2 linked regions of the Macaca fascicularis genome follow. The protein of the gene in region 1 interacts with the protein of each later gene in a pairwise test. Links are inferred from orthologs where the notes say so. Each region holds a gene or a part of one and is shown in the gene's direction. Other genes may lie near its edges.

The links. The genes of interacting proteins can lie anywhere in the genome.
Region 2: the proteins of TNFAIP1 (region 1) and POLR1C interact in binary tests that used the Homo sapiens proteins (3 or more experiments, as listed by UniProt). The link is inferred for Macaca fascicularis from reciprocal best matches to the Homo sapiens genes TNFAIP1 and POLR1C.

Annotation. Positions count from the first base shown.
Region 1 is NC_088390.1:33,803,289-33,809,013, forward strand, and holds part of TNFAIP1 (BTB/POZ domain-containing adapter for CUL3-mediated RhoA degradation protein 2), read left to right. Parts: intron 1-531; coding exon 532-621; intron 622-704; coding exon 705-757; intron 758-1,556; coding exon 1,557-1,752; intron 1,753-3,631; coding exon 3,632-3,868; 3' UTR 3,869-5,725. UniProt on the Homo sapiens protein: Substrate-specific adapter of a BCR (BTB-CUL3-RBX1) E3 ubiquitin-protein ligase complex involved in regulation of cytoskeleton structure.
Region 2 is NC_088378.1:128,003,004-128,009,508, reverse strand, and holds the start of POLR1C (DNA-directed RNA polymerases I and III subunit RPAC1), read left to right. Parts: upstream 1-2,897; 5' UTR 2,898-2,918; coding exon 2,919-2,987; intron 2,988-3,114; coding exon 3,115-3,186; intron 3,187-5,145; coding exon 5,146-5,253; intron 5,254-5,511; coding exon 5,512-5,644; intron 5,645-6,200; coding exon 6,201-6,320; intron 6,321-6,409; coding exon 6,410-6,505. Other genes in the region: protein YIPF3, read right to left, coding at 1,397-1,503, 1,691-1,897, 2,533-2,613. UniProt on the Homo sapiens protein: DNA-dependent RNA polymerase catalyzes the transcription of DNA into RNA using the four ribonucleoside triphosphates as substrates.

The DNA of each region.
Region 1 (5,725 bases):
GCCCTGCTTCTGGTGTCTATGCTTTGATACCTGGATTTTAGATTGTCGGGTTTTTTTTTGTTGTTTCTTTTTTGACTGTCACCCAGGCTGGAGTGCAGTGGTGTGATCTTGGCTCACTGCAACTTCTGCCTCCTGGGTTCAAGTGATTCTCGTGCCTTGGCCTTCAGAGTAGCTGGGAATACAGGCGTGCGCCGTGGCACCTGGCTAATCTTTGTATTTTCTGTAGGACTGAGGTTTCACCATGTTTTCCAGGCTGATCTCAAACTCCTGGGCTCAAGCTATCTGCCTGCCGCAGCCTCCCAAAATGCTGGGATTATAGGTGTGAGCTACCGCACCTGGCCTGGATCTTGGGTTTTCTAAATGGGGGTCCACTTTCCAGCTGGCAGTTTCTATTGCCAGGGGCCTCATGATTTGTGTCTGACACTTCCTCACCAAGCTGCAGGTGGCCATGGCAGAGGGGCTCCAGAGGTACCTGGCTAAGCCTGGAAAGCAGAAGATCCTAAAGAGGGTTCTCTGTTCTGTGTCGCGCAGGACAAGAAGGACTCCTACCAGCCTGTGTGCAACATCCCCATCATCACATCCCTGAAGGAGGAGGAGCGGCTCATCGAATCCTCCACCAAGGTACCGGGACCTCTGAGGGCTGCGGGCTGCGGGCTGGGGATGCCAGGCCCCCGGCCTGGCCCTCACTCTGAACTCCTTCACAGCCCGTGGTGAAGCTGCTGTACAACAGAAGCAACAACAAGTATTCCTACACCAGGTAGGGTGCGTCACAGGGCTGAGCAGCCAGAGCAGACACTGGGCAGCAGACCCAATGCATGCTGCCTGCACTCCCAGCATGGTCGGCGTGGGTCTGGGCCTGGGTCTTGGAACTAGCTGTGCTAAGTGGGGGAAGAACAGAAAGTAGAAGGGAAATTGGGACAGAGGCCTTTGGAACTCGGCAGGGTGCCCTGGCTGGGATATAAATGATTGAAGGTGAAATGCGCCCTCAACGTGTATCACGAAGGCAGCATGTCAGGTGTTTTCACACATGTCATCCTACCAGGTGAAGGGGATGCTAGGAGGCCAGTGAGCTGGGAGTCCCCCGAGTCAGCCTGTGCGGTTCACACTGGGCTGATTCTCTCCCCACACCCTCCAGCCCATGTCCTATCCATAGGCCACAGTTAGGTAGACTCAGGTGGCTGCAGGTTCAGAGTCCCAAACCCTCCCTATGCTTCCCTGTGGACAGGCACATTGCCACTGTCACCCCCACAGTAAGGGAGGGAATGCCTCCCACTGAAATAGCAGCGTTGTCTCCTTCCTTCCCCGTTAGTGAGGGGAGACCTGCTCCCTCAGTTGTCCCTACTTTGACTTAAAACCAACTCAGTTCCTTTTCCTTACAGGCCCCCTAACCCAGAGGGTACCCTATGATCCTTTCTCTCCTGGCCCCCTGGCATCTTGCTTTCATTTCAGCAGGACAGGACAGGGGAAGGGAGGGAGGGGAGGGCTCCACTTGTCTAGCACACTCCCTTGGAATGGAACCTCATTCCCAGGCCTCTTGGCCCTCATGGGTTTTTCAGCAACTCTGATGACCACCTGCTGAAAAACATCGAGCTATTTGACAAGCTCTCCCTGCGCTTCAACGGCCGCGTGCTCTTCATCAAGGATGTCATTGGCGACGAGATCTGCTGTTGGTCCTTCTATGGCCAGGGCCGTAAGCTGGCAGAGGTGTGCTGTACCTCCATCGTGTATGCCACAGAGAAGAAGCAGACCAAGGTGTGGGGGATTCCCCCTGCATGGGTCAGGGAGGACACACACCCACTGTAGGAGGGTGTTGTTGGGGTGTGACTAGCACGGAGCAAAAGGGGCGTGCACTTGGCTCTTTTTTCCAAACATGGTAATGGTGCTGGGCAAGGACAAAGCCAGAACAAGGGGGTGTGGGGAATGGAAGGGAACCGCTTTGTTCCTGACAGCTCAGGGCAGGGGCCGTTGACCAGCAGGAAGCGGCTTAGTACAGTGGGAAGGACTGGGTCTTTGAAGTTGGCCCAATTCAGGTTTGAACGCTGGCTCCACCACTTGCCAGTTTTCTGACTTTGGATAAGCCACTTAAGCCATCTGGGCCTCAGGTTCCTTATTTGCAGACATGGGGATGATGGTATGACAAGATACGAAAATGATACAACTTTTTGGAGTGGAAGTATGGTGTAGAAATAGCTTGGGCTTTCATGTTGGAATGCTGTTCAGATCTCCTATCTGAGCCAGGGACAGAGGCGGGCACAACACTTGAGCCCAGGAGTTTAAGACCACCCTGGACAACATGGTGAAACCCCGTCTTTACAAAAAATAGAAAAATTAGCCAGGCATCGTGGCACACGCCTGTAGTCCCGGCTACTCAGGAGGCTGCAGTGGGAAGATCCCTTGAGCCCAGGAGTTTCCAAACACTCTTAATAATAATAAAATAAAATCTCCTCACTGGCCCCCACTAGCTGGGGGTTTCTGGCTAATCAACTTAGTGCCAGGTACACATCAGGCATTTGATAGGTGACAGTCATCACAAACTCAGCTGGCCCCTCTCCCCCAGCTGCAGTCAGTTACCCCAGAAAGGAGCTGCCTCCTGTGAGTGCAGGTCCTGGAGATGATCTGCTAGGGTGGATGGCAGGTCATCCAGGAAGGGCCATGTAGGTGTGAAGAGCTCAAAGTAGCCAGACTTGCCAAGCAACCTGTCGACCCCTAAACTACTCAAGTGCCTCCGGCTGGGAGATCTGCAGAGGGTTTGGGGAAGGCCAGCTTACAGGTGACCCTGCTTCCTCCTGCAGTTTTTGGTGTAGGGGTGGGAGGGAAGGTGACAGTGTGGGTGGCTCCTGACCCTATCGGTGGCGAAAGGGTTCAGGGGCAGGTCTCTAGTGGCTGGTGACGCTGCGGTGGAAGTGGCAGCAGCACCTGGCATCTTCCTAAGTGTGTTCTCTTTCATGAACTCTTGTGACCTCTCACAATACACCTGTGAGACACACAGGGCTAGAGCCACTCTCCCCATGTGACAGATGAGAGAACAGAAGCTCAGTCCAACAGAGCAGGTCAGGCTAGAATTCAGGTGCTTGACTGCATTCCCTTTCTCTCCTCCGGGCAGGTCATGCCGGTGACACACTGGGTCGGGCAGGCAGGGAAAGGCAGCGGAACCACTCAGCATAGCAGCTGCTCTTTGTATGTCTCTGCTTGGTGGTTTGCTATGTGCCAGGCTTCTGCTAAGCAATCACATCTTTCCTGTAATGTTGACAGGAACTCTCAGGGGTTGATCTAAACCATCCTTTTGTACATAAGGGAGCTACCGCCCAGAAGGGTTCAGCCCAAGGCTCCACAGCTAGCAAGTGGTGGAGCTGTGTTTGGACCTAGGCCTGGCCCACCCTCTATGCCCACTAGTCCCTTGGTCTCAGGCTGGGGCAGGGGTGCGGAGGGTGTTGGTCTTCCCTGTCCTCATGTCTATAGAGTACACTCCCTCACCCCGCCTTAGGAGGGAGGCTGGCTCTCCCTGGAGACGGACCGCCACCTGTCTTATGAGGTAGCAGAGGCCTTATGGAGCCTCAGGGCCAGCAGCTCTGACACACAGCTCCCTCTCCAAGATGAAACATTGCTCCGTCTTCATCCTCCCTCACCCCAGGTGGAATTCCCAGAGGCCCGAATCTATGAGGAGACACTCAACGTTTTACTCTATGAGACTCCCCGCGTTCCCGACAACTCCTTGTTGGAGGCTACAAGCCGTAGCCGCAGCCAGGCTTCCCCCAGTGAAGACGAGGAGACCTTTGAACTGCGGGACCGTGTCCGCCGCATCCACGTCAAGCGCTACAGCACTTACGATGACCGGCAGCTCGGCCACCAGTCTACTCATCGTGACTGACCAGACCCTCAGAAAGTCAGGGCACGGGAGGCCCTATCTCCCGTCCTGTGGAACCTGCCCTATTGGCCACCCCATGCTGCTGCTGGCTGGGTCTCTGCTCCAGCACCCAGAGGCATGACAGACCCTGCTCGGAGGTCAGAGGGTCTGGGCAGAGGAGGGACCACATTCCTCTGCCTTGCCCCCGAGCACTTATGGAGACTGAGTCCTGTCCTATCTGCTCACCATCACCCTTCCTGTCTGACAGGGAGCTGCTTCTGCTCCCTGGGGCAAATGGGCTGACCCACCTCCTGCCGAGAACCTTCCCCTAGGCACTCTGTGGAAGGGCTACTGCCCCTTAGGCCTCAGCTGAGGCCCATGGGGAATGGGTTCATTCTGGGGAAAAGGCCGCTCCTGGTGTTGTAGAGGCCCAGTTTTATAATGGAAGGTGGGATGTCTTTTTTCCTAAGGTGTTTAAGCACAAGGCTTGGTAAGTTTGGTTTTTAAAAAATAATCTAGGAAATGAATAGTTCTAAATCTAGTAACGAGGAAACTGGGCATTTCTTTTGCCCTCCAGGGTGCCAAGACCCTACATATGGCAGAACCCTTGGCCCTTCTCCATGCCTGTGGGATCTGTTTCTTTAAAGCACTTTGTACTGTTATTCAGGAGGTTGATATTCTCCCTGACCCATGTCTTTCTACCCTAATCCCTGCTTCCCTGCAGAATAGAGGATAAAGAGGGGATAATGAGGAAGCAATAAAAAAACATCCAACAAAGCAGCTGTGGCTTTGCCAGCCTGGCCAGCAGCTCAGAGTGCACCGAGGAGGGAAGGATGGCTAAGCTGGGACCTGCAGTCCTCACAGGGTGCCTGTGAGAAAGGACATTTTACCTCCCCATCTTAGAGTCACATCACTGGCTCCTAGGTCTAGCATGACTGCTCTTTGTGGTTCTCTTGAGTACCCCTGGCTTCCAGCCATGCTGTCCTCACATACGGTAAAGCCAAAGAGCTGTCACAGGGGCCAGAAACATGAGCCACGGCAGGAAGACCGTGGAGCCTGTGGGTACTGCATGGTGTTGGCTGGCATGCCCATCACCTGAGGACAGCAAACTCAGAGCCCGGTGCTCCCAGCAGCCCCTGCACAGAGGTAGCCCATGCTTGGCCACACATCTACCCCCTGCCCACACCACCTGTGGTCTTGGTTTGTCCTGGCTGGGATAGTGGTTCTGCCCAGTGGTGTCTCTGAGTGCAGGATGACAGGAGCAACTGAAGCACCCTGAAGGCTTTCACTCCTTGTTGGGTAACTCAGCCATGGAGATGCCAAGAACTAGCCAGGAGGTAAGTTCCTCTTTAGGGCTTTGGTTTTCATTCCTTTTTGTTTGGCTTGGCCAAACCAGAATTCAGCTTATCTGAATTATTTTCCAAAGGAATGGTATCAGGGAGGGACTGTTCTGCCAGCCTAACAAAGCAACGTAGCCACATACTGTACCCACTTTCCGCTCTTTGGAGAGAACACAGGTTATCAAGTTTATCCCTCTTAACTACTTTTATGATAGCTGATGCCACAGAGCCTATGGGCAAATGCCAGACCCAGGGTTAGACACAAGGACCTGAAGTGACATGACGGCGGGACAAGGGAAATGTGACTTTCTAATTAGGCATTTTATGTTAGTCACAGTCTTGAATGTATAAATAGCACTAAGACTCTCAGGTCAGGTACCTTGGTGGTCAGCTACTAGTTCTTCCAGCCCTCATTGAGGTTAACAAGATAAAGACAAATCCATTTCTTTGGCCAAATTCAGGCTTTGGCTTTGTGACTTTCCCACAGACTGGAATGCGTCGGCCTGAGACCACTGGCCTATTTTCTCAGCTGCCCTCTTGA
Region 2 (6,505 bases), on another chromosome or scaffold:
CAGCCTGGTGACAGAGTGCGACTCCATCTCAAAAAAACAAAACAAAATAAAAAGACAAGACAAGACAGGCAGACCTCAGCAGAGAGTACCCAGAATTCAGGGCTATAATGAGGAAGCCCTGGGAAAAGTCTAGCGGGCTAGATGGAAGGTTTAGAATGAAAGGTGTTACTGAGGGAATAGTAAAAACGCCTCCTCTTCCTGCTTAACTGTGCCTCCAGGTACTGTCGAGCATTTTCTTGAAAACTATATGTGAAGTGGTATGAAAATTCAGTCACTTGCCCCTTCTCTCAAGTGGCTAGCTCCTAATCATACCTTGGATTTTAGCTAGATTTTACTTCCTCTGGGAAACTTGTCCTGTCCCATCCACCAACCTGCTTTGGCTCACATATCCCTCCTGTGTGCCCCATCATAGCATGAATACTGTGCTGTAACTGCACTCAAGAGCAAGGCTCCTATCTATCTTCACCACTGAACCAGATACAATTAGTATAGGGTCTGGCACAGAGCAAATGCTTAATAAATACTTGCAGAGTGGTCCTGGGTATTTGATTAGCATTGATTAAAGGACGAACAAAAAAACCAAGCCAGGATTAAATCTAGTTCTTGAAAAGTCACTCAAAAACTATGCCCTGATATTTTGATTCTGAGACTGTTCTGCTGCTGGGAATAAAAAGATAAACAAGACAGAGCCTGCTTTTGAGATGCTGTTGGTCTCTGGGGGGAAGATTCCAGGAATAAGAAAGGAAAGCAGTGGTGAAGTGCTGTCTATTAGAGGCAAGCACAGAGTTCTTTTTTTTTTTTTTTTTTTTTTTTTAGATGGAGTCTCGCTCTGTGGCCCAGGCTAGAGCGCAGTGGCGCGATCTCGGCTCACCGCAAGCTCTGCCTCCCGGGTTCATGCCATTCTCCTACCTCAGCCTCCCAAGTAGCTGGGACTATAGGTGTCTGCCACCACGCCCGGCTAATTTTTTTTGTATTTTTAGTAGAGACGGGGTTTCAGTGTTAGCCAGGATGGTCTCGATCTCCTGCTCTTGTGATCCACCCGCCTCAGCCTCCCAAAGTGCTGGGATTACAGGCGTGAGCCACCGCGCCCGGCTGCCAAGCACAAAGTTCTATAGGAACACCAGGAGAGAACAAACTGGGGGTGGGATTGAGGAATGTGGAACAGAGGAAGTGACATCTGAGGTAGGTTTTGAGGGAATATGAGTAGTCAGCTAGATGGAAAAAAGGAGAAAGTTGGTAGCTATTATTATTTGTTTCAGTGACAGGTGTAGTGATGAGAGATGATGGGGTCATGAAGAGGGGGAGCCCACCAGAGCCCAGGGCTTGAAATCTGATTGTAGTGTGCATAAAGGACTAGGTGTTAGGAGGGAAGCTTCTTCAAGAGAAGGCTCCTCACCTGCTCCGCACCTGAGCAGGCTCCACATCAAAGTACGGTCTGAGGATGTCGATGTTGGCGTACAAGCTGAAGGCCCTGGAGGCTTGTCTCTTCCCGGCCTGCCACATCTGAAGTAAGGAAGATGGGCATAGGTATTGTGGGACTGTTGGTTCTAGACCCTGTTGCCTATTTTCCGCTTGATTTCTACATGGTTCTAACTGGACAACCTGGGGCAAACATCACCAACACCAACTCCAGAACATGGGACATACCTAGGTATACCTTTCCACCTGCAGAAGATTCAATCATGCTTACCTGATCTGCCACCTGCCGGCTCAGCTGTCCCTTAAAGCCTTTCATGCCCAGGAACTCTCCATCCTCTTCTTCAGCAGCAGCTGCATCAGCTGCATCAGCGTCTACTTCTTCCTCGCGCAGGCGCTGATGCAGCTCACCCATATCCTCGAAGCTAGAGCCTGAGGTATCATCCATGTTCTCCATGTCAATCACAGCTGAGCCTCCGCCCTGTGAAGACAATGGCTCCTAGAGTGCAGGACTTTTCTGTTCCATCCATTAAGTCCTCTGCTCATCCCAGGGTTTAGGGCTTTGTTCTTCCACTGCTGAGGATACGGCTCGGAATCACTACAGATCATGCCACTCCATTCCCCCTCATATGCTCTCAGAACTCTTGGTTTCTAGCTTTGGCTGAATTTTCTAGCCTGGGAAACATACTACTAGTCTTCCATTCCTGTCTTTTTCCTACCTTACCTACCAAAGACTAAAAGGCTGAAAAAGTGCCCATTTCCTTCTTTCCTAAGCCCCAAACAAAACTATACACATAATATGTTTTCAGCGAATGCCAGTGAATCCCCACCCAACCCCACTCCATGCCTGACCCCGACCAACTTCCTAACTTGTTCCAAGAATACCTTCTTCCTAATGCCTCGAGCGGGCCCAGAGACCCGAGACCCTCAGGCTGGAGTACTAGTCTGGCCCTTTCAGGTCAATGTTAATCCTACTGACTTTAGTGTGCACGAAGACCCAAAGAAGAGAGTTTTGCAAATGGAGCGGACTTCCAGGCCCACAGGGAGAATCCTCAAGACACTTCTGGACATCGCTGGCCCTCGGGTTGCTGGCAGCTAGTGCCTTGGGGCCATTACCTGGATGTTTTCTTCGAACCCTCCCCATTCCGGGCCAGCTCCATTTCGGGCGCCGCCCGCCGGCGCCGCTGTAGTTGCCATGTCCCTTGAAGGCTCCCGTCGCTGAAGCCCGCGCTAGCCCCGCGCGCGGAGGAGTGGGCGAGACGTGGGCCTTAGTGAGGGAGACGTCCCGGGTCGAGGAGAGGTGGGATCGGCCGGAACACAAAAAAGAGAAGCCCGGATGTTTGGACAAAACCAACTTCCGGAGGCTGGGGACGTGGACGGAAGCGGGGAAAAGTCTCGCGATATTTAAGATTCCAGGCGGTGGCGCGTTGCCACGGAGACGGAGCCAGTCTACTAGGACGCACGCGCCAGATAGAGCCTCCAGTCTCGTGGAGAGATTGAAGATGGCGGCTTCTCAGGCGGTGGAGGAGATGCGGGGCCGCGTGGTTCTAGGGGAGTTTGGGGTTCGCAATGTAAGCCTTGTGGCCTTGAGCTCGGGCGGGAGGAATGAGAGCGGAACAGGGGTGGGTCTTGGGATTGGCGTGGGGATAGCCGTGGGCTCATTGTCCCTTTGTGGACAAACTCGTCCCTTTGCTCTAGGTCCATACCACTGACTTTCCCGGAAACTATTCCGGTTATGATGATGCCTGGGACCAGGACCGCTTCGAGAAGGTAAGTGGGGCCGAAGTTGTCTGGGGAGGGTTATGAAGGCCAGACCCTGTGGCCTGAGCAGCCTGTGTCTGTCTCAGCAGCTGCTTTTGGGGGTCGCTCCGTTTGTGTTTGTTGAGCAATGTGCTAGACGCTCCGTTTACAGGCCAAATTAGACACGGTTTCTATCTCTGCAGAGATATTCCGTCTTGTTGAGGAATGGTGCGTATAAACAAGTGCATCTAGTGTAATATGGTGAAGGTGGTTGATAGCGATGAAGACGGCAGGGTTGGGGTGGGGAGCATTCCGCTGAGACCAGGAAGAGGGGCCGAGAGGTACTTAACATTTCAAGAGGAGGGGACACCTGAATTGAACCTTGAATGGTAAGTAAAAAAAAAAACAGGAGTTGAATTATGAAAGATTTGAGTTTCACGTCAGTGAAGTTCAGGATATGCAGGTTTTGTGTGTATTTAGTCTTTTGTATTATTGTTTCACTTAGCTTAAAATAAGGGTTAAAATTGCATTTAAATAGATTACTGAATGTTACCCTTTATGCAACTGACCTAAATGTTACCCTTTATGCAGCTTATAAACATGATGTGTAAATCAGTGCCTGGGAAAATTTTACTTTTTTAACCTGTTGATACAAGGAATAAAGTATGAACAATGAAAAAGGCTAATGCTTGAAAAAAAATTATGACTTCTGTGACATGTGCTCCGGGAATGTCCAAGTAGTTCTGGCATGAGTGGTCGGCAAGATTGAAGTGTGTCACACTGTGGATGATAGGGAGCTTGAATAGTTTCTTAAGCAGACATGATCAGATTTGCAACCTTGATGGCTGGGAGGGAATGAGTTTGAGGAGGATCATATGGAGCAGGCAGATCTGTCGTAAGGGAAGCTGAGGTTGAAGATATGAACTAAGACTGATGGTAGAAATAGAGCAAAGGAAGAATATAAGGTAAATTTATGATTGCTTGGATAAAGGCTGTGGGGGTAGCATAAAATGACTTTTTCTGGCTTGGGAACTGCTTTTTGCTTTGTGGTATCATTTACTAAGAGGAGAAATGGGTCTGGGGAACAGGGATGATGATGCATTGTTTTCTGTATGTGGGGAAATCTAGCAGGCTAGAAGACTGCATGCTTGAAATGAGATCAGAAGTGAGATAAAATTTTGGGAGTTGTCAGAACAGATAGTTGCTAAAACTGTTAGTACAGTTAAGGTGACCTGGGAGAGAGACAAGAACCTGGCAAATTTAGAGATGGGTGGAAGTTGATCATCAGAGATGGAAGAAGAGTGGAGCTCAGAAACCAGGGGAATCGTTCAAAAAAGGGGATTTTTTTTTTTTTTTTCCTTTTCATGAGACACTCTTATCTCCCAGGCTGGAGTGCAGTGGTGCAATCTTGGCTCACTGCAACCTCCGCCTCCTGGGTTCAGGCAGTTCTCCTGCCTCAGCCTCCCGAGTAGCTGGGACTACAGCTACGCGCCACCATGCCCAGCTAATTTTTTGAATTTTTAGTAGAGACGGGGTTTCACCATGCTGGCCAGGCTGGTCTCAAACTCCTGACCTTGTGATCCGCCCCTCGGCCTCCCATAGTGCTGGGATTACAGGTGTGAGTCACCGTGCTGGGCCCAGAGGAGGTTTTTTAATCAATGTCAAGCATAACAGAAGTCTAGTAAGAGGACTGGGTAGTGTCAACAGGACTAAGCACTATGGTAGTTTCTGTTCTTTAGTGGAATAGCTTCTGTGGATGGTTTGGTTGGAAGCCATATTGCATAGGGTTTTAATGAATGGACGACAAAAATGGAGACTTTTTATGAAACTAAAGCACTGGGCGAGAAAGAATATTTAATAAGGGACATCTGGGCAAAGGGAGGTTTTTGGATGAGAGGATAATACTTGAGGGAATTATCTAAGGGGGAGGTATGAAGAGATATTACAGAGAGAGCAGGTTTCACTTAAATGTTTTTCCTGTCCCTCTAGAATTTCCGTGTGGATGTAGTACACATGGATGAAAACTCACTGGAGTTCGACATGGTGGGAATTGACGCAGCCATTGCCAATGCTTTTCGACGAATTCTGTTAGCTGAGGTATTGGCAGGCATGGTGACAAGGCTGGAGTTGCTTTGGGAACTGCACTGACACCTCACTTGGAGAATTGTCTCAAGCTGTCCTTCCCTCATTTTTCCTGGAATTTTGCTGAGCATTTTACCTTCTCATTCTTTGTAAATTTCTCATTAAACATTCTAGGAAGAGAGATAGCTCCTTACCTCTGGAGGGTGGGGTTGTGGGGATAGGTAGGGGGTCTGTTGGGTTTTTGCAGATAAGTGGTTATTTTTCCTTGGGCAGGTGCCAACTATGGCTGTGGAGAAGGTCCTGGTGTACAATAATACATCCATTGTTCAGGATGAGATCCTTGCTCACCGTCTGGGGCTCATTCCCATTCATGCTGATCCCCGTCTTTTTGAGTATCGGAATCAAGGTAAGAAAATGAAATTTTGGGAGAAGTGGACTGTCTGGGTTCAAATCCTGGTTGACTGTGATGTTGGGTAAGTTACTTATGTTTGTACATCAGTGTTTTTCATCTGTGAGAACACTTGCCTTGGCTTCCCAAGTTTGCCGTAATTAAATGGGACACATATGTAAAGCATTCAGCATAGTGCTGGCACTCAGATGTTTACTAGTTCTTTTTTTTTTTTTCTTTTTTTTTTTTTGAGACGGAGTCTCGCTGTGTCGCCCAGGCTGGAGTGCAGTGGCCGGATCTCAGCTCACTGCAAGCTCTGCCTCCCGGGTTTTTACGCCATTCTCCTGCCTCAGCCTCCCGAGTAGCCGGGACTACAGGCGCCCGCCACCTCGCCCGGCTAGTTTTTGTATTTTTTAGTAGAGACGGGGTTTCACGGTGTTAGCCAGGATGGTCTCGAACTCCTGACCTCGTGATCTGCCCGTCTCGGCCTCCCAAAGTGCTGGGATTACAGGCTTGAGCCACCGCGCCCGGCCAGATGTTTACTAGTTCTTAAGAGCTCCCTCCATTTGTGCAGGAGATGAAGACGGCACAGAGATAGATACCCTACGGTTTCGTCTCCAAGTCAGATGCACTCGGAACCCCCATGCTGCTAAAGATTCCTCTGACCCCAACGAACTGTATGTGAACCACAAAGGTAAGTAGTGGTAGGGTGAGGAAGAGGCCCCACCTGTGGGTGGCTGCTAGTTTTAGGAACTGAAATCTTTTGACATGTTTTTCCTCCAGTGTATACCAGGCATATGACATGGATCCCCCTGGGGAATCAGGCTGATCTTTTCCCAGAGGGCACTATCCGACCAGTGCACGATGACATCCTCATTG